Ovis aries: one gene and its partners. The protein of the gene in region 1 purifies or fractionates together with the protein of each later gene. This does not show direct contact. Links are inferred from orthologs where the notes say so. Each region holds a gene or a part of one and is shown in the gene's direction. Other genes may lie near its edges.

Evidence for each region.
Region 2: the proteins of LCK (region 1) and KHDRBS1 purify together in Homo sapiens (affinity purification with western blotting; 5 studies listed by BioGRID and IntAct, with this or other methods). This does not show direct contact. The link is inferred for Ovis aries from reciprocal best matches to the Homo sapiens genes LCK and KHDRBS1.
Region 3: the proteins of LCK (region 1) and UNC119 purify together in Homo sapiens (affinity purification with western blotting; 3 studies listed by BioGRID and IntAct, with this or other methods). This does not show direct contact. The link is inferred for Ovis aries from reciprocal best matches to the Homo sapiens genes LCK and UNC119.
Region 4: the proteins of LCK (region 1) and SH2D2A purify together in Homo sapiens (co-immunoprecipitation; 3 studies listed by IntAct, with this or other methods). This does not show direct contact. The link is inferred for Ovis aries from reciprocal best matches to the Homo sapiens genes LCK and SH2D2A.

Annotation. Positions count from the first base shown.
Region 1 is NC_056055.1:235,285,402-235,290,184, reverse strand, and holds the start of LCK (tyrosine-protein kinase Lck), read left to right. Parts: upstream 1-1,327; 5' UTR 1,328-1,441; intron 1,442-4,783. UniProt on the Homo sapiens protein: Non-receptor tyrosine-protein kinase that plays an essential role in the selection and maturation of developing T-cells in the thymus and in the function of mature T-cells. Plays a key role in T-cell antigen receptor (TCR)-linked signal transduction pathways.
Region 2 is NC_056055.1:235,447,607-235,451,922, reverse strand, and holds part of KHDRBS1 (KH domain-containing, RNA-binding, signal transduction-associated protein 1), read left to right. Parts: intron 1-216; coding exon 217-284; intron 285-1,072; coding exon 1,073-1,131; intron 1,132-3,619; coding exon 3,620-3,717; 3' UTR 3,718-3,812; exon of another isoform or gene 3,813-4,316. UniProt on the Homo sapiens protein: Recruited and tyrosine phosphorylated by several receptor systems, for example the T-cell, leptin and insulin receptors. Once phosphorylated, functions as an adapter protein in signal transduction cascades by binding to SH2 and SH3 domain-containing proteins.
Region 3 is NC_056064.1:19,957,611-19,962,615, reverse strand, and holds the start of UNC119 (protein unc-119 homolog A), read left to right. Parts: upstream 1-1,979; 5' UTR 1,980-2,046; coding exon 2,047-2,266; intron 2,267-5,005. Other genes in the region: PIGS (GPI transamidase component PIG-S), read left to right, coding at 1-147. UniProt on the Homo sapiens protein: Involved in synaptic functions in photoreceptor cells, the signal transduction in immune cells as a Src family kinase activator, endosome recycling, the uptake of bacteria and endocytosis, protein trafficking in sensory neurons and as lipid-binding chaperone with specificity for a diverse subset of myristoylated proteins.
Region 4 is NC_056054.1:106,760,833-106,765,639, reverse strand, and holds the start of SH2D2A (SH2 domain-containing protein 2A), read left to right. Parts: upstream 1-1,486; 5' UTR 1,487-1,606; coding exon 1,607-1,640; intron 1,641-1,922; exon of another isoform or gene 1,923-2,169; intron 2,170-2,289; coding exon 2,290-2,444; intron 2,445-3,193; coding exon 3,194-3,375; intron 3,376-4,091; coding exon 4,092-4,181; intron 4,182-4,449; coding exon 4,450-4,618; intron 4,619-4,807. UniProt on the Homo sapiens protein: Could be a T-cell-specific adapter protein involved in the control of T-cell activation. May play a role in the CD4-p56-LCK-dependent signal transduction pathway. Could also play an important role in normal and pathological angiogenesis.

The DNA of each region.
Region 1 (4,783 bases):
TAGCAAGGGGGTGGGGCCTGCAGCCGGGGCTCTGTGTCATTCTGTAGGCCTGTTTTTTAGTTTTTTTTTTTTTTTCAAAAAAAACTTCGTGTTTCTCAGCTTTTGTTTCTGTGTCACCCTCTTTGTCTGACTTTCCAACTCAGGCTTCCTCTTCCCCCCACCCATTTCCTGTCTCCCCCTTCTCTCCGCAGCAGCTGAAGGTGCATACAGCATCGGCTTCCACCTCACAAACCCCAACAATGCTCTGTGGGCTTCCCCTCCCCCAGCCTGCTACCTCAGTGCAGCCTCAGGCGGTGGCAACAGGCTTCTGTCTTCCGATGGGTGCGGCCAAGGCCCAGCTCTTGGGCCCGAGAGAGGCCACCTAGAGTTCCTCGTAACACTGGTGACCTGGCCCTCAGCCTCTGACGTACGCCACCCTCAGCCTGGCTCCTGGGGAAAGGGAGATTGTTGGCCTGCTTCGTGCTTGTGACAGGGTCCCTTCCTCCTGCCTGTAGCAGAAAGTGCTGCCAGTCTGTTGCCTGCACCGGGGGGCCTGGGCAGGAGTGTTTGTTCTGTCTCCCACCTGTTGCAGGAGGTGGTGTCAGGCCTTCGCCTCTGACAGAGGCTGTGGCCTTGTCTCTACCTGGGTTAGAAGGGTTGCCCTACTCTCCAACCATAATTAGGGGGTGTTGTCCTGCCCTCTGCCCACAAAAGAGGCTGCTCCCTTAAAGACACCGGGTTGTCCTGTCTGCTTCCTTGAACAGCCTGTTGTCCAGCAGACTGTCTGTAGGAGGGGTCTTAGCCTCCCCTCTGCAAATAATAAAGCTCTTCCCCATGCCCTGAGATGGCATGGCTGTGGTTCCATTGTGTGGCTAGCAGCTGTGTGCGCCTGGTATCTATCTATCATCGTATCTGCCCTCCAGTGATTTTACAGGGATGTTGTTCCCCCTGACTCTGAGGGGATGTTACTTTTGCCCTCTGACTGTAGTGCAAGGATCACCTGGCTCTCAGACTGATAGCCGTGCAGCTTGCCCTTCACTGAAAGCTGAGTGGGTGTCTCCTTGCCTCCTGCTCACTGGGGCTTCAAGGCGGCCCTTGAATCTCTGGTCCAGGTGCTCCCTGGGGGGGGGGGCGGAGGAAGTTCCATCCAATATTCTCCTCTACCTCCGGGTGCCACCTTCGGGGTGAATGGGGCCTGGACTGGGGTGAAAGGACCCTAGAGGGCTGAGAGGCAGGGGGCGATGGCAGCAGGAAGCTTGGGGTGCTGGAGGCTTGCGGTTGGGCTGCTGGGGCCCGGTTGGCTGCGGAGCCCTCAGGAGGAGGCAGGAAGTCAGGGTGGGACGTGGGCGCGGGGAGACAGCCAGTGGCTACGACGGTGAGGGGAGCCGAAGCTGTGTCTGGGCAGCCGGGCTGGGCCAGGAAGACCATGTGAATGGGGCCAGGGGGCTCCTGGGCTGGGCAGGTAAGGAGTACCCGGAACAGGGGCCTAAGGGCTGGGAGTGGGACCTTCGAGCAGAAGGCTGCAGCTGGGCCTAGGGTCAGGCTCCCCTGGGATGCGCAGCCTATCAGGCTGGGGTCAGAAACACCTGGAGGTCAGGTGGGAGGCAGGCTGAACAGCCAGATCGCCTCTTTCCTGTGTAGCTGTGCCTCCACCACACTGCCTGCCATCAGAGCCCACCTCACTGGGAGCCTTTTCCTTGGGGATCTCTTAAGTACTGAAAAGGCCTTCAGAAATCCCTGCATCCAGCCCCTCATCCCATGATGGATAAGCCTCCTAAGCCCCAGACTGGGCAAAATGCTCCCTCCCCATAGTCCGTCAGCAACGCAGAGGCAGAGAGGGTGATGGCCCTGGGAGAGGTGATGGCCTAGGATGTGATTCCCCACTGGAGCAAGGTGATAGACAGGCTTGAGTCAAGGGTCCCAAGAGTCCTTCCACTTGCTGGTGTAGACCCCAGTGACAAGACTCTCTTGAGAGAGCGAGGGGAATCACCCAGAGCATCCGGACAGACACGTGAGGAGTGACTTTAGCCTCGACCCACACTGCTTGAGAGAAGGAGGGGGTCTTCCTTTGGGAATGGATGGGCATGCAAGGGAATATTTATCATCTGGGATGAGGACTGGGGCGGAAGTATCTGACAGGACTCCGGGATGTTGGGGGGTGAGAGGAGGATGGGAGAAGGGAAGAGGAAGGGCTATTTTTATCCTGGACAAGGGTGCTGTTGGCCCTGGGCAAGGACCATCTGGATTTCCATCTGGAAAATTGCCACGCCTGCCCCTGCCAGGATGTCCTTTCCTCTTCCCTTTGCTCCTTCCTGCCCCCTACCCCTGCCCCTGCCACTGCCTGATTAGGGCCAGTGGGTCCTGCTGGTTCCTGCTTCAGACCCCAGGAAGGTGGAGGCCCAGGGAGGCAGAATCAGCTCCTTGTCCATCCCCTCAATTTTAGCTCTCAGCCTGTAGTTTATGGGGGTAAATCCCTACCTGAGCCACACTTTCCAGGTTTCCCCTGCCTCCCCCACCGCCACTGGAGTTTTTCTTGAAACAGTTTCCACTGTCTCAGCCATGTCGCAGTCTTTCTTTCATCCCCAGCTCCAAGGCCTGCAACCTCTTGTGGGGTCTGGAAAACAAGCTGGGTCTTCCCTAGACTCATCCAGACCCTGGACTGGCATCAGCCGTCCCCCACCCTAGCCTGTGCTGAAGGATGATTCAGGGTCCCTCGCCCTCAAAGCTCTGGGACAGAGGCGCTTCTCAAAGGGAAAAAGGGCCAAGTGATGGAGCAAGAGAATGAGCGGAAGCTCCAGAAGTCGAGAGGAGGCCTCGCTTGGGTGATCGGAAGGCTTCCTGGAAGAGTCAGGCGGCTATGAGAACAAAGGCCCATTTTGCAGAGTACCTAGGATATGCAGCTAGGGTCACTGTCTCTGGGTTGTTCCTTGGATCCTAGGAGGGCAGAAACCTCAGGGCAAGACCAAACACAAGAGAGCCAGAGGGTTTGGTGTAGCGCAAAGGACATGTATTTCACAGTCAGGCTGACCCAGGCACAATTCTGGTTCTGCCATTTCCTTGAACAAATGACTTCACCTCTTCAAACTCCAGTTGCTTTATTGGTAAAGAGGCAATAATAAATCCCTCCTTACAGAGTGCTGGTGGGAAATCAAAGAGAAAATGGCTGTGATGTGCTGTGGGTAGTAACTGGCATGCCGAAGGTGCTTAACAGAGGTTAGGCAACCACTTCTCCTGCAAATGGTGCACCCAAGGGTGTGTGTGCGGTGGGGGTGTTGGGGGGTGCTGTCCGTACCCGGAATTACTCCTACTCAGCACCTTGGCAGGCCAGTGGGCAGCCCATTCCTTCACACTTGTGGTGTAGCTTTGCAAATGAGCTTGTTTCCTGTGTGTTCTAGTGGGTGTGAGAATTTTAGGCTGGGCCACAGGGTCTATCTTGGAGGAGGGTCCCACACATACCTTCCTACAGACACATAGATACGCACACACACACACACACACACACACACACACACACACACACACACACACATGATCCTTCCCTTCCTAGCCCAAATACCATTCATATCATCACTGGAAAATGTAGGTGTGCATGGATGTTCAGAGGCAGAGGCAGGGACCACATATATATCACACATCAGCTCAGTTCAGTTCAGTTCAGTCACTCAGTTGTATACAACTCAGCAACCCCATGGACTGCAACACACCAGGCCTCCCTGTCCATCACTAACTCCAGGAGCTTGCTCAAACTCATGTCCATTGAGCTGGTGATGCCATCCAACCATTTCATCCTCTGTCACCACCTTCTCCTCCCACCTTCAATCATTCCCAGCATCAGGGTCTTTTCCAATGACTCAGTTCTTCGCATCAGGTGGCCAAAGTATTGGAGTTTCAGCTTCAACATCAGTCCTTCCAATGAACACTCAAGACTAATTTCCTTTAGAATGGACTGGTTGGATCTCCTTACAGTCCAAGGGACTCTCAAGAGTCTTCTCCAACACCACAGTGGGATCCTATAAATCCATGCACACACCCACAGACTGATGGCTTCAAGGCCAAGCCCAATTCAGTGAAAGCAATGCTGAGGGGAGCTGAGTTTGTGGGTGGGATGGAGGCAAGTGGGGCCTCCATCTGGGTGTTCGTTGGAAGGTATCTGAGCTAGATTTCCAACACTTGGTCTAAAGAATGTTAGTCCCACGAGGCGCCCCGAAAGGAAACACTTCTGGGTCCAAATCAACACTGCCTCAGCTATGAAGTGTCCATGTGAAATTTACCATCAGTGTTGGCTTGTGGAAACTCTGAAAGTCTCCCCAGAGAAGGCGGCTGTTTGCTTTTGTCTAACCCGGTATGTCTCAGACTTCGGTGGTTGCAGAACCTTTTTTCTCGTATCCCTAGTTCCTTGCCTGAACCTCTGGAGACAAGGGGAGCAGTGGAAGGACAGCTGTAAGGTTGATTCTTCTCAAAGGACTATGTCTCTTACCAGAGTTTTTGCGTTGGTGGGGACTTGGTTGTTTCTGTTTTTCAATTATAAAATTAGCACATGGCTGCTTCTAAAAATTTAAACAGTAGGGACTTCCCTGGTGGTCCAGCGGCTAAGGCTATATGCTCCCAGTGCATGGGGCCCAGGTTCAATCCCTGGTCAGGGAACTAGATCCCACATGCCACAACTAAAGATCCTGCATGCTGCAACGAAGACCCTGTGCCATTAAATAAAATAAATAAATATTAAAAAAATTTAAACAGTACGGAGACATATACAGAAATATAAGCAATGTAGCTCCCTTCAATCTCACTCGTGGGCTATGCT
Region 2 (4,316 bases), about 160 kb from region 1:
GCTGATAAAGTTCAACCTTGAACCTTATTTCCTGCCCAAGCTGAAAGGGTTTTTTTAATTTGATTGATCGTTTTCTAAACCTTTCTCTCTTGACTATTCCACAACAGATGTTAATACTTTAGAGGGAAATTCCATGTTCTGTTCATTCATAAGCCCTCCATATTGCCTTAGCTACTTTGTGTGATTTTGACTTTTTCTGTTTCATTTCGTTTGTAGGGATATGATGATACATACGCAGAACAGAGTTATGAAGGCTATGAAGGCTATTACAGCCAGAGCCAAGGGTGAGTCAGGCAGTGGAATTGCTGTTTCATGTCCTTGGGATATAGAGGGAGTTGGAAGAACTGGGAGATTTAGGCAGAACAAATCTAAGGAGCAGATGGATCACCTTTTCAGAGTGTTGCCTCTGCTTGTGACATCTGTAAGGCACACACCTGGATCTGCAGATTTGGAAAACTGTGAATCTTAAATTATAATGCTGAATCTGGGATTAGCATATGAAAAATTCCTTAGCTGTGACTACATGGGAACAAAGGGAAAATGCCTTAAAATTGTTTTGATTAGTTATTTTAAAATGTCACAACTACATTAAAGTTGCATAGAAGTTTAAAAGGGTACTAGATTCCCATTACTTAACTCAGATTTTTTCTGCTCTTTTTTTAAAAAACACGTTTTTGTGTATGTGTATATATGTGTCTAAACTGTGATGGGAAAGGCCTCTCATAATTCTGCAGTGGGGACAAGACAGTTCTTTTCATATTTGCTTATTCTCTTCCAGTGAGCCCTGTGAGTGTGTGTGTGTACACTGGTTAACACTGAGCTTTTTGGTTGAGCTTTTTCACTTTAAATTGTGTGCTATTCATTTTTCTTTGCTGTAGTTGTCATAATTTTTAAATGAGTATCCAGTATGTACATGTTTTGGAAATATTTTACGTTTGGAGATGGGGGTAGAATGAACTTTTGTTTGTTTTGCACCCTCAGTAAAATGACTAAAATATGGAAGCATTTGGGAGAAAGGTAAAACTGAAACATGGTTGCTGTATAGCTCTAATACTCTGTCTTTGGCTTTCAGGGACTCAGAATATTATGACTATGGACATGGGGAGGTTCAAGATTCTTATGAAGCATATGGTATGTCTTTATTTCTGTGGTGGGACAAAATGTGCAAGTAAGTGCCCAGGAGAATGCTGGTGATGGGATTATTGGGGGTCAGGCAGTCATACACCTAAGGAGAAACCTCATAAAAAGATCAACATGTTGATAGACGTGACACTAGAAATCCTGCTCTTATTTAGATCGTGTGGTGTGTAGTAGAAAGAAAGACTGTTGAAATGAGTTAGGTGTACTCTTGGATGGCTAAGCAGATGTCCTAAACTAGGGCTAAGGTCCAGGTTGACTGCTTGGAGCAGCAGGCTTTTTGGCTGACACTGACTTTGTTTCTGCTTTAGGCTGGGAGATGGCTAGACCTGGGTTATGTTGCTGAGCCTTTGCTGCAAGATACCTAGGCCACATTGATGGATAATAAGAATGGAATCATATCCAACTTTTCTGACCCACCTCATTTTTAAAAACAATTTTGGATCTCATTGTAAAGAATCTCAGTGTAGGGGATATGCTAGCTGAAAGAGACCCAATGACAAGAGCAGTTTGAGGGCAAGAAGGGTGCCTGTTAGATTAGAAACTGGGGACTGGAGCCGGTTCAAGACGGTTCAACTTCCTGACTGTCTTGGAGACATCTCAACTTAGTCCTTAATCCCAAGAGAGCTATAGATGCTGGAATGGCAGCAGGACCAAACTGCCTTTCCTGAGGCCTGGTTGAAAACACATTGCTCAAGCGGTATCCTCAAGAGCCAGATACGGCCCTGTGATAATTGGCCCCAGAGGGAGTGCCATGTGGCGGTAGATGCAGAGAGAGCAGCCTTTTAAATATGAGGTGTTTCCAGCATACCTGTGGGAAGTCCAGAGACCTTGGCAAGGGACTCAGCAGTTGACAACTTAAGGTAGTAGTTGACAGTCTCCCTTACACCTAACTGAAAAGAGGAAAGAGCCTCTTAGGGTTCCCACAGGTAGACTCCTCACCTCCTCAGCGTAGTATTTTGCAGCCAGTCAGCTGCTTGTCCAGGGGAACAGTTTTTACCAGCTCTAGCTAAATGGTCCTGGACAGTTGCCATCTGTAACACTGCACTGCTCTGCTCATATGCCACTGTTTAGAAGGGTGGTATGATTGCCCCAGGGTATTTCCCATCATCGGTGAGCAGTACAATGGGACCGCTGTAAGTGTTTGACTAAATTACATTTCTGTTTTGCTAGAAAAAAAGCTGCATTGCAACAGGCAGGCTGCTCCTTGTGCTCCTGGTATGATGCTGCCATGGTTAATCTGTTCTGATTTCTGCCTTTATAAACAGAGTTAGAAAAATATACTGCCTTATTGGTACAGTAAGAAGTCACTTAGAAAGTGATAGACATGTCTATTGTACTAGAGGTATAAACAGGCTTAGATAGCAACTTTACATCCATGTAGGGGTTTTAGACCTAGAATGATGGAAACAGATGTTTGTGAATGCAAAGTGAAGTCAAGTGAAGTCGCTCAGTCGTGTCTGACTTTTTGCCACCCCGTGGACTGTAGCCTACCAGGCTCCTCCGTCCATGGGATTCTCCAGGCAAGAATACTGGAGTGGGTTGCCATTTCCTTCTCCAGGGGATCTTCCCGATCCAGGGATCGAACCCGGGTCTCCCGCATTGCGGGCAGACGCTTTAACCTCTGAGCCACCAGGGAAGCCCTAGAGAAATAGCAAGCCTGGGTAAAGTCTGGGGGTGAGTGGAAAGAATAAACTTATAAACACAACTCCCGTTCATGAGAGATCAACTCTAAAAGTACATGATTGTTTTTGCTATAGGCTTTTCCCTGACACAGAGGAAAACCATTTGAGGATAGCAGTCACGTTGTCTAGCTTCTCTGGACTATTGGCACCAAAATGAGATAATGAATTCTCCTAATGAGTGCTGTTGACACATTTGATTGTACTTCCCACCACCAGAGCAGTGGGCCAGCTCTGCTGGTGGAGGGTTCTTGAAATGTGACCCTTGCTTGCTCTTCCCAGGGAGCCAGAGGATACTTCTTCACAGGCAAATCTGACTTGCTGTTGCATGGAAAGGGAGCTGCCTCTGTTGCTTTCAATCTGAAAGACTTCCAGAAGTTGTCACCTTACTTGAGGCTCTCTCCTGAACGGCTTTGAAAATAGGAAAGAGCATTGCAGCCCCAGTGAGATTGATTTCCTCACTGTCTGAAGCAAGGTGTTGGGTTTATCCAGGTTTGGGGGCTGGAATATAGATCATGCATGTTGCCTATGGACAGCTTCTTTCTTGGACATCACCGCAAGTCCTTTCTGAACTGTTTGCTTCTGGCCATCCACTCAGAACTGCCCTATACCTGGGAAGTTGCCTGAGCTGCTTGGGAGGGAGGGCGAAGCAGAGTAAGAAAGTAAGAACCACAGAGGAGGTGGCAAGGCATTGGAAGCAAAGCAACATGTTTGGTGATCTTTACCAGGTGACCTACACCTGTCCATTCCAAAATGCCATTGGCACATGGTTTATAAACTGTTCTTGCTTTTCCCCACAGGCCAGGATGACTGGAATGGGACCAGGCCGTCGCTGAAGGCCCCTCCAGCTAGGCCGGTGAAGGGAGCATACAGAGAGCACCCATATGGACGTTATTAAAAACAAACATGAGGGGAAAATATCAGTTATGAGCAAAGTTGTTACTGATTTCTTGTATCTCCCAGGATTCCTGTTGCTTTACCCACAACAGACAAGTAATTGTCTAAGTGTTTTTCTTCGTGGTCCCCTTCTTCTCCCCACCTTACTCCATTCTTAACTCTGCATTCTGGCTTCTGTATGTAGTATTTTAAAATGAGTTAAAATAGATTTAGGAATATCGAATTAATTTTTTAAGTGTGTAGATGCTTTTTTCTTTGTTGTTTAAATATAAACAGAAATGTACCTTTTATAATAAAAAAGAAGTTGAGTAAAAAAAAAAAAACACAAACCTGTTAGTTTCAAAAGTGACATTGCTTGCTTAAAGGTTCTGAAGTTAAGGCTTGTTAACTTTCTCTTAGTTTTGATTTGAGGCATCCCGTAAAGTTGTAGTTGCAGAATCCCAAACTAGGCTACATTTCAAAATTCAGGGCTGTTTAAGATTTAAAATCACAAATGTTAACGGCAGTAGGTGCCACCATGTAAAAGTGAGCTCAGATGTCTCTAAAAATGTTTCCTTTATATAAAAAAACACATGGCGGTTGAATCTTAAGGTTAAATTT
Region 3 (5,005 bases), on another chromosome or scaffold:
CTCCACCTTCTCTATTTCCCTGATGATCAGAAGTTTGCCATTTACATCCCGCTCTTCCTGCCCATGGCTGTGCCCATCCTCTTGTCCCTGTTCAAAATCTTCCTGGAGACTCGCAAGTCCTGGAAAAAGCCTGAGAAGACAGACTGAGTGGGATGGCATCACAGTAGGAAGCCTTCCTTTCCAGCCAGGAGGGAGGTGTTAGATTGAGAGGCACATAACGGGGCCTGCCACAAATGATTTGTCTCCAGCCTGCTCTGTTGCCACTCCAGCAATCAAAGTGTAACACTCCAAGAGGGTTTGCTCTTTCCTGTCCTCCCCATTCTTGTGGCTCAGGTCCCTCCCACTCTTCATCTTCTCCCCCCACTCCAACTCCCAAACCTCAAAAGACCCAATCTGGGTCTCCTTACCTGCCTTGAACTTGAAGGTCTTTTACTGTCTCCCACTGCAGCAGGGGCAGCTTATCTTTCTGCCCTGTTCCTCACAGTCCTCTTGCACTGAGTGGGAGCATTAGGGAAAAGCCCTGGGTGGGATCTAGGGCCCTTCCCTCCTGCTTCTCTCTGATCCCTCAGAGAGAGCCCTAGCACTGCTCTTCTAGAAGGGGCCAGGCCCGTGTCATCTCTGGGGCCTTCTCCCTTCCTCCTGGGTGGCTACACTTGGTGGGTGCAGCCTGATGCTGTGTGTGGCAGAGCTTCCCTTCCTCATCCCTTTATAGAGGCAGTGTGGTACAGTGGGGAGAGTTCTGGACTTGGGATCCAACATGTCTGAATTCAACCCTTGCTTCTGCACTTAATATCAGGGGAGCTTTGAATAAGCTACTTAATCCTCTCTGAGCCTCAGTTTTTCTTTTGTTAAAATAGCACTAATGACACCTCCCTTACAGGGTGGTTGTGAGGATTAAATGTGATGAGCTTGTGAAAGTGTCTGGCATATTCTAGGCTCTCAATAAACATTGGTTGAATATGAACTGGAATGATATGAAGTGTGATCATACCTTTCATTCTTCATTCGTGTGTAAGTCATGGTTTCCTCCTGTCTGTCTTCCTCGGCTCACTGGGTCCGTTTTACTTCCACCTAGCCAGGTGCCCTTCCTACCTTTCCTGTCCTGGAGGGCCCTGTGGTGACTAGACATTGTAGGCTGTTGTCCCTCAGAATTTCCTGGGTTATCTAGCAGGGGGTCTGGGAGAGGAGTAGCAGTGTAAGCTCTCAGATACTAACTGATTCATAAATTCTAAAAAAGAATATACAGTTGGCCCTTGAACAACGTAGTGGGTGAGATGCCTACCCTCTGCGCATTCAAAACTCAGACAATAATTTATATTTGGCCTTGTTTATCTGCAGTTGCATACCCACATATTCAGCCAACCTCCCATCGTGTAGTATTGTAGTATTTTCTATTGAAAAAAAATCCAGATAGGTGGACCCACTCACTTCAAACCCATGTTGTTCAAGGGTCAACTGTGTTGAGTGCAAGCTGCAGTGGGCACTGGACTAAGTGCTGGGTATTCTAGAGAACAGAGACGAGATCTCCAGTTTCACCGAACTGGTCTTGTAGGAGGACTGGTCAGTGAGCAAATGAAACGAATTTCAGATGATGCATTAGAAAAAACAGGCTGATCAGATAGTGATGGGGTGTCTGAGAGGGCCTCTGAGCAGATGACATTTGAGCTGAGACCGGAAGAACGAGAGGAGGCCACCTCTGGGGGAAGAGCATCCCAGGCCCTGAGACGCGAACTCATGTGCGAGGGGCAGAGGGAAGGGCGGAGTGGCTGGAAGCCAGCGAATAAGAAGGGGTAGGTAGCCAGGACCCTGAAAACCCCTACCGGAAAAATGAACGACGTCCCCGGGCGGGCCCCCTCCCTGCCCCGGGTCCGTAGCCCAGGTGGGCGGGCGGTGGGCGGGGTCAGCCCCGGGCCCACCCCGGGGGCGGGGCGGTACCTGGGGCTCCGGTCCGGCCGGGGGCGGGGCTGCGGACGCTCCCCCTTCTCTCGGCTCCAGCCGGCGCAGGCAGCCGCGGCGGCAGCAGGCGAGCCGCGGCCCCGCGAGGCCATGAAGGTGAAGAAGGGCGGCGGCGGGGCCGGGACGGGAGCGGAGCACGCTCCAGGGGCCTCGGGCCCGAACGTGGAGCCCAAGCCGGAGCTGCAGGCGGAATCCGAATCCGGGTCCGAGTCGGAGCCGGAGGCAGGCCCGGGGCCCAGGCCGGGGCCGCTGCAGAGGAAGCAGCCGATCGGGCCGGAGGACGTGTTGGGGCTGCAGCGGATCACCGGCGGTGAGCACCCGCGAGGCAGCATCACCCGCGGGCGGGAGTGAGAGAGCGCGAGAGGGGGCCCTCCGGGCGCGCAGAGTCTGGGCCCCCGCCCCCTTTCCCGCCCTCCCCCGCCTCCCCTCCCCCACCCGGGTGCCCCTCTCTTGTGTCCTCTACCCTTCTGCCTCCAAGCCTGAGATCTCCATGTCCCCCCTTTCCTCGATCTCTCTCTGCGCTCGCCTTGTCCCTTTAGAGATTCGTTTCCACCCCTTTCCTTCCTTTTTGAGGAGTCCATCCCCCTTTCCCATGGTGGAGGTGGGGCAGCAGCTGCAACTGTGACCCCCTCCCCACAGAGTCTTCAGAGTTTTTTGAAGATCTTCTCTGCAATAATGAGGAGGGGGCTGAATGCAGTCAGTCCCCAGTCTCCTCCACCCTAGAGGCTACGTGTGGTATCAAAACCCTTAGGTCTCCTTCACACTGGACACCCCCAGGAAGTCTGGGGCCATCACTCTCTCCAGGAAAGGACCTGAAGAGGAAGCTTCAGTGCTTTGACTCTGGGCTTCTCAAGGAAGTGGGTTAATACCCCCTTTAGCCTGAACTAGGGCCTGTCCTCTTCTGGGAGGCCAAGCCACCACTGTGGTTGAGTTTCTGAGCTGGATTGCCAAACTGAAGTTCCAGCTTTGCCGTCCTATTGGCTGTGTGACCTTGGGCTAATAACTTCACCTCTCTGAGCATATTCGTCTGTAAAATGGGAATAATGACCCCTAACTTTAGAGAGCTGTTGTGAAAATAAATCCTGTGATTTTGCACTGTGCCTGGCAGGCCGTGCATGCTGTGTAAATAGGGCTCTTTTGTCAATACTGAGGGCCCCACAGGACTGCTCATGGCTGCTGCCTGGAGGCAGACAAATGGGCATTCAGGGCGGGGGAGGGGGTCACCGTAGGCAGGGAACAAGGGAGGGAAGTCTCATGGCAGAGGCCGCGGCTGAGCCTGAAAGAACAGAAGGCACTTGGAGAGGCAGTGGCCTTCTATCTTGGCCTCATTGGTTAGTACCCCTGCCCTGGCTCCCTCTGTGAGGGCAACTTTTGGAGTCCCCCTGTGAGGGTAGGGAGCAGTTGCTGGACTGGACCTGAGCTCTGGTGCTGCAGGAGCAGAAGAGTCCAGGGCTTCCAAACAGCTGTGGAGGGGACTGTGATGGCAGGTCTAGGCCTGTGCATCTGGGTCCCCAGGGGACCAGCATCTCCCTCCTCTCTTAGCCAGGCAGCAGTCATTCTTGGCTGGGCCCTCGGAGCACTGAACTGCCTTACCCAAGCAGGCAGTAATAGGGGGAAGGTGCCTGGACCAGTCTGATGGTGGTGCCAGTTGGGCTATAATTGGCAACAGTAGCATTTAGGATTCAGGTTAGCTCTGGGGCAGAACTTCCCTATAGGATGTCTAACTTGTCCCAGTCCTAGGTAACTTTCGAGGTGATTTTGCAGCCAGAGGGACTTCTAGCCCATATACAACTGTGTGTCTGAATTTGGAGGAAATTCATAGCCCTTAGAGATTCAGCATCTGTGGGCGATTAGAGGAAGAGTCTTCACCAGATCCCTCTTCTTTGTGGAAGCTGAGAACAGGGCTCCAGGAATCTTTCCACTGGCACCCCTGCCTGTCTCCTCTGACCCTAATCACACAGGTCTGAGTTTGTTCTTCCTGGATTACCCAGACCTGAATCCAGCTTAGGAAGCTATTTGTGGCTGAGGCGAAGGGAGCAGTTGCATTCTGAGCCCTCAGCCACTCTGCCCCTTATCGGGCCTGACCCCAAGTCCCAGGCATCATCCTTCTCCAGCTGGGGGAGGGAGTGGAGGTGGTGTCTTGAGCCATGGGCATCTTCCATTCCTCACTTCCTCTAAGGACAAAGGGATTGATAGGCTGAGTTTGCAGTAGAAGAGACAGAGGTCACACTGCCAGTTGTTCTCCAGTGAGAGGAGAGTCTCTGGAAGTTAGGGAATGGGGGAAGGAGTGGAACCCTATGGGGAGCCAGGAGCTGGGCGACTAGGGTGCTGTTCTGAGTTCTGCCTCTTCCTCTCCTCTGCCCTGCACTTTCCTCCTACGTCTTTGGATTAGTGTTTACTTTCTGTGAAAATAAGTTGTGTCCAGGGTGAGGCAGGACCTGCCTACTTCCATTCCTCCTCTCCCCACCGTGGGCTGTGATGGGCAGGCCAGGGCTCCAGCCCCACCATAAGTCCTGTGTAGTCCCTGCTGGACCCCAAGTGCCAGGTGGCCACCAGGAGGGCTTCCTGGAGGGGGCTGCCCCATGCTTGGGAAGAGAGAATGACTTTACATTCACTTCCTCTTCCTGCCCCAGAGAAATCAGTGGTGGCCTAGGGGCCTAGCGGGTGATTTCCGGGCCTCTGCAGGGAGGATGTGATGCTGTGCTGGCACCAGAGCCCCCACTGCACCTCTCTGTTTCTTCCTATTTGCTGTTGGGGCCTCCTCCCTGAGTGCTTGCAGTTGCCGCTGCAAGAGTGGTGAGGGTTGGATCAGGCCCTGCTATTTCTGAGCTTCCTCAAGCCGAGCCCACCACTGTTCGTGGTTCCTCTTCTGGGCTCAAGGATTCCCCTTACCCCAGTCACAGCCCTGCTATACCTGCCACACCCTCTTACTGGCCTTGCCTCTTCTCTCTGGGGGTAGCTCAGAGTCAAGGGTGGATGGATTACCTTTAAGGGGGGGTTCCCTCCATAGACCTCCTCTGCTAAGACCTCCTCTTGTTTGAAGATCAGT
Region 4 (4,807 bases), on another chromosome or scaffold:
GGAAAGGTATCTGTAGAAGAAGGACGAGCATGTTCAACTTCATGGAAGAAGGAAATGGGGTGGAGCAGCGGCTGTATGGTTGGAGCGGAAGCTGGCTCAGGGGCTGCCAGCTAGGGTTTACCTAGCTGGAGGGTGCCAGAGCCAGAGTGCATGCTGCCTTGCACCCGAGAAGGACTCTGGAGTCCTGATTTAGCCTGCAGAGCTACTTCCCTAGCGCCTCTGAGAAGTAAAGAAGACCCCCAGCATCACTGCTGGCCCAGTCACACCCACACTCCAAGGCCTTGCCTCCTCCTGAGCTGCCTGATCCCTCTTCCCTTCCTTTAAAACTGCTGCCTTAGGGAATTTCCTGGTGGCCCAGTGGCTGAGACTCTAAGCTCCCAGTGCAGGAGGCCCCGGTTCCATCCTGGTCAGTGAACTAGATCCCACGTGCCGCTACCAAATGTTTGCATGCCCCAACTCAAGATCCCACATGCCACAACAAAGGTAGACGATCCCACATGCTACAGCTGAGACCTGGTGCAGCCAAATAAATAAATATTAAAACAGAACAAAACAAAAAAACCTGTTGCCTTAGCCTTGATCCCATCCTCTTTCTCTCTGGACTCTCAGCACCAAGAACAGTGCCTGGCACGTAGTCACGGACTGTTGGCCTAAATCACAGTGAAGTTAGTCAAAGAAAGATCTAGTTTTTAGTCTCAGTTCTGCCATGAACACCGGAGACACTGAAAGACCCAAGCCAGGGCACGTAACTTCTCTGAGCTTCAGTTTACCCATCTGGAAAATGGGGATAGTGTTCCCCCATCTCCCCTTCATTAGTGAGGATCACAAGACAGAAATGGGACTGGTCCTCTAGGGTGGCAGGAGAGGCAAGGCCACTGCAGATTTAAGGCATCAGCCTGGACGTCATCAATAACAACTGCTGATAGGTTTGCTATTAATAATGACCTGCTTAATTGAAGGAAATCCCCTCTCCCTTTCTCCAGGATGGTTGGTTTTGTCCTAACCCAGTTCCATTACCTGCCTGAAGATGAAGCCAGGCTTCCTCCTCCATACCCCCTTGTCTCACAGGTTTCATAAGACCTCAGAAGGTCCTGCAAAAGTCTGACCCACATTCTTCCTATTGCAGCTCTGCCCCCTCCCCTCCTCATGTGTCCTAAGAGCAAAGTCCTGCATATGAGTCTTCGACGAGCCGGAAGCCCCATCACATTATAAGGCTTAGTCTTCTGAAGCTGATGTTCCCACTGCCACTGCTAACACAGAGAGAGAGAAGAGAGAGGGTGAGGAAGGGAAGCCCCAGTCTGGAGCGAGGGCGTGGAGAAAGAATCAGGAGGGATGGAGACAGGACAGCAGCACACCCAGACACACAGTGATACAAACGCCACACCACCACCACCACCTCCAGCGCCTGGCTTCCGGGGGAGGGACAACTGTCTTACGGCTTTCCATGACGCGCAGCCTCCGCGAGGGCTAGGGCTGTGGGTGAGGCGACATTTCCTGCCCCAGGGGGCTGGGGTGAGAGGAGAGATGAGTTGCTGAGTATGCACACCTTCTGAGAGCCCATACACACACACCCTGCTCCAGGGGCTCCTTTCTCAGGCTGCCCCCCATGGAGTTCCCTCTGGCCCAGATATGCCCCCAAGGTAAGTGTGAAGTTGGAGAATGTCGGTAGGAGGGAACCTCAAGACCCCCACGACCCCTGCTCTCCTCCCCTCTGGGCCTAAGCTCCCACCTCGGGGGTGAGGGGCCACACCCTGGCCACACTCCTTGCCACACTCTGGCAAGGCTGACGGGCAGGAGGCCCACAGCCCCTGCTCCTCCTCCTCGGGTGCCACGTCCACGCAGCCCTGAGGGTAAAGGGGACAGGGTCTGCTAAGAGCTTCTTCGACAGGAGAGAGGAGCAAGCACGAGGATGAAGTGGGGCGGGAGGCAGAGGACCCTGGGCCAGAAGAGGGGCCTGCACTGGAAGACATCTGCCTCCACTCCCGGATTCTGGAACTGCTGGGCCAGCTGGCTTCCCTGCGCTCCTCCCTGGGCCCACCTGCCCTGACAAGCCCCTCTGTCACCTCAGCCCTCTACGCCTCCTGGGCTCCTTACTCCTCCTCCCTGAGAAACAATCTCTGCCACCCCTCCTGCCTTTCTCCTGCTGTGATGACTGTGCCTGTCCTTCAGGTCCCCGATGCCTGGACTGCCGGGGTGGCGGGGAAGTGGAGGGCCTGAGCCTGAGCCTGGGAGTGGTGGGCGGCAGAGAGAGACGCAGGCCCTGACTGAGAAACCTCTCTGTGCTAACAGGGAGCCGAGAAGCCCCGGCCATGACTTTCAGCACCTTCCAGCCCCTGGACTTGACCCGCAGGGGCTGCCAGGGCCCCGGCTTGCTTCTGGGACCACGACTCCAGGCCCCCGAGGAAGCCTGGCCCAGCCCCAGGGGCCCAGCTGGCCAGGCTGTGGTGAGTGGAAACCTGCGGGGTGCCGCTCCCTCCTCTACTCCCCCCCTCCCCCGGGGGTGGGCTTGCAGGTGGACAGAGGCCAAAGCAGGAATGAGCAGGGGCTGCCGCCATGGCGGGGGGCCCAGAGGAAGGGCAAGGAGAGGAGGAGCACCTCCTCCAGTGGCTGAATGGCCCACTCGCTCCTCCTCTGTCCCCGGGAAGCTCAGGGTGAGTCCACAAGTGATGGGCACAGTGATTTAAGTTCCAGGAGTAGGCAGCTACAGCTAGGCCCGTGGCCTTCATTTGCCCATCCTCATCTCAGTCCTCCTCACCCAACCGGTCAGTAGGAAACCCTCCCCATCTGGTCGGTAGGAAACGAGAAGGGTGAGCCCTTCCTCGTTCTGGCCTCTGGGGCTCCCTTCATCCCTCAGGCCAGGGAATGCTTTCTGTCCATCTGGAAGGCCCCACTCCCATTTAAGCGCAGTTTAACAGCTCACTGCTACTGGCAAAAAGGCTCACAGGACCCAGAGGGAAGTGGAAGGAAATTCCCTGGAAACAAAAACAGCTTGAGCTAAACAAGTCAGACTTTGGGAAGGACTTTCTGGGAAAAGATACCCTAAAAGAGGCAACCGGAAAGGGGACAGGGAGCTTTCTCCACAAGTCGAAGAGCGAGTCGGTGTAGGGATAAGGAGGCGGCAGCTGACTTAGAGTCAGAAGAAGGGCTACTGATCATGGCCACCTCTCCCCTCCTTGACTCTTCTCTTATGCAGACACCTCTCCAGGCCCCAGGGGCTGCCTGCAGTCCAAAGGATGTTGGGAAGGAGGAGGACCAAAGGGAAGAAGCTCTGTTCCTACAGGCCGAGACTCGGGCTTGGTTCCAGAAGACCCAGGCCCATGAGCTCCTACAGCACGGGGCGGCCCCCATCTGGTTCCACGGTTTCATCACCCGGAGGTGAGTCACAGAGGAAGAAACAGGCTCAGAGCAGGGCAGGGGCCAGTCCTGGGTCCTGCCGTCAGTCAGGAGTAGATTGAGGCTACAAGCCAGGCTGTGACTGCTGGAGGCTCTGAGGCAACTTGCTAAGGCAGCTCTCCTGGGGGAGACCACGGAAGAGGCACCAGCCCAGAGCCCCTACCCCGCGCCTCCACTTTCCTCCTGTCTCTAAGGATCCTAGTGCTCATTCTCCTCCTCGGCCTCCGTCTCTCTCCCTCCATGTCTCCCTCCATCTTTACCCCGGGCTTTCTCCAGCCCTCTCCCCTCTCTTCCCTCCCTTGCAGTTCCTCCCTTCTCCTCCACTTCTCAGCTTCACTTCTCCTGCGTCTATCTCTGTGCTTACCTCTTCCATGCAACTTGTGACTTCTGAAGTCTAGAAATCTAATACCATCCCTGCTGCTGCCGCCGCAGCGCTGACCCCCTGAACCCCCCACTCCAGGCTGCCTTTCCAGGATGGGCCCAGGAGGAGGATGCAGGGCCAGGAGGTCTCCTGAGTGGAACGCCCAGTCCCTGCAGCGGGAGTGTGGTGACCACATCCTCTCTCTCCCGCCTCCACCCTTCTCTGTCCACTTAAGCAGGCTTGGTTGGGCGTAGGGGTCCCCTATGAAAGCCAGGGAGACAGGAGGTGAGGCCGGAAAAGTCTGAGCAGCCCCCTGTGTCTTCTCCATCATCCTCAGAGAGGCCGAGAGGCTGCTGGAGACTAAGCCTCAGGGATGCTACTTGGTGCGTTTCAGTGAGAGCGCCGTGACCTTTGTGCTGACTTACAGGTGAGGGGCCAGCACTGCGCGGGGGTGTGGGGTGGGGGACAACAAGAAGGCGGGACTTTGAGCTAATCAGGGGGCGGGACTTGGTGCTGAAGAACGTGTGAGGGGCAGATCTTCATGATGACCCCCAGCAGGGGCGGAAGGGTCTAAGCCCATCCCCCAGGCTGCTAAGCATGGGAAACCCGGGCATTCGGGCGGATAGAGATCACGCCTCGTGCCGATGTCCTGGCCAGAAAGAGGGAGCAGATATGATCCTGACTGGTGTCTCCAGGAGCCGGACTTGCTGCCGCCACTTCCTGCTGGCCCAGCTAGGGGACGGGCGCCACGTGGTGCTGGGCGAGGACAGCGCCCACGCGCGGCTGCAGGACCTACTGCGGCACTACACTGCCTGCCCGCTCAGCCCGTACGGGGAGACGCTCACTGAACCCCTCGCCCGCCAGGTACGCCATCCCCACCCCTGGCCCTGACACTGACCCTGACCCCGGGGACCCAGGCCAGGGCCCCCCCAGCCCCACCTCACGCAGAACTCAGGCTGCAGGACCTCGCCAAGCACTTTCCTATTCCCACAGAGGACGCAGACATCCCTTTTCCACACATCTCCGCTGGTTGCCCTTCCAGAAAGATGCGTG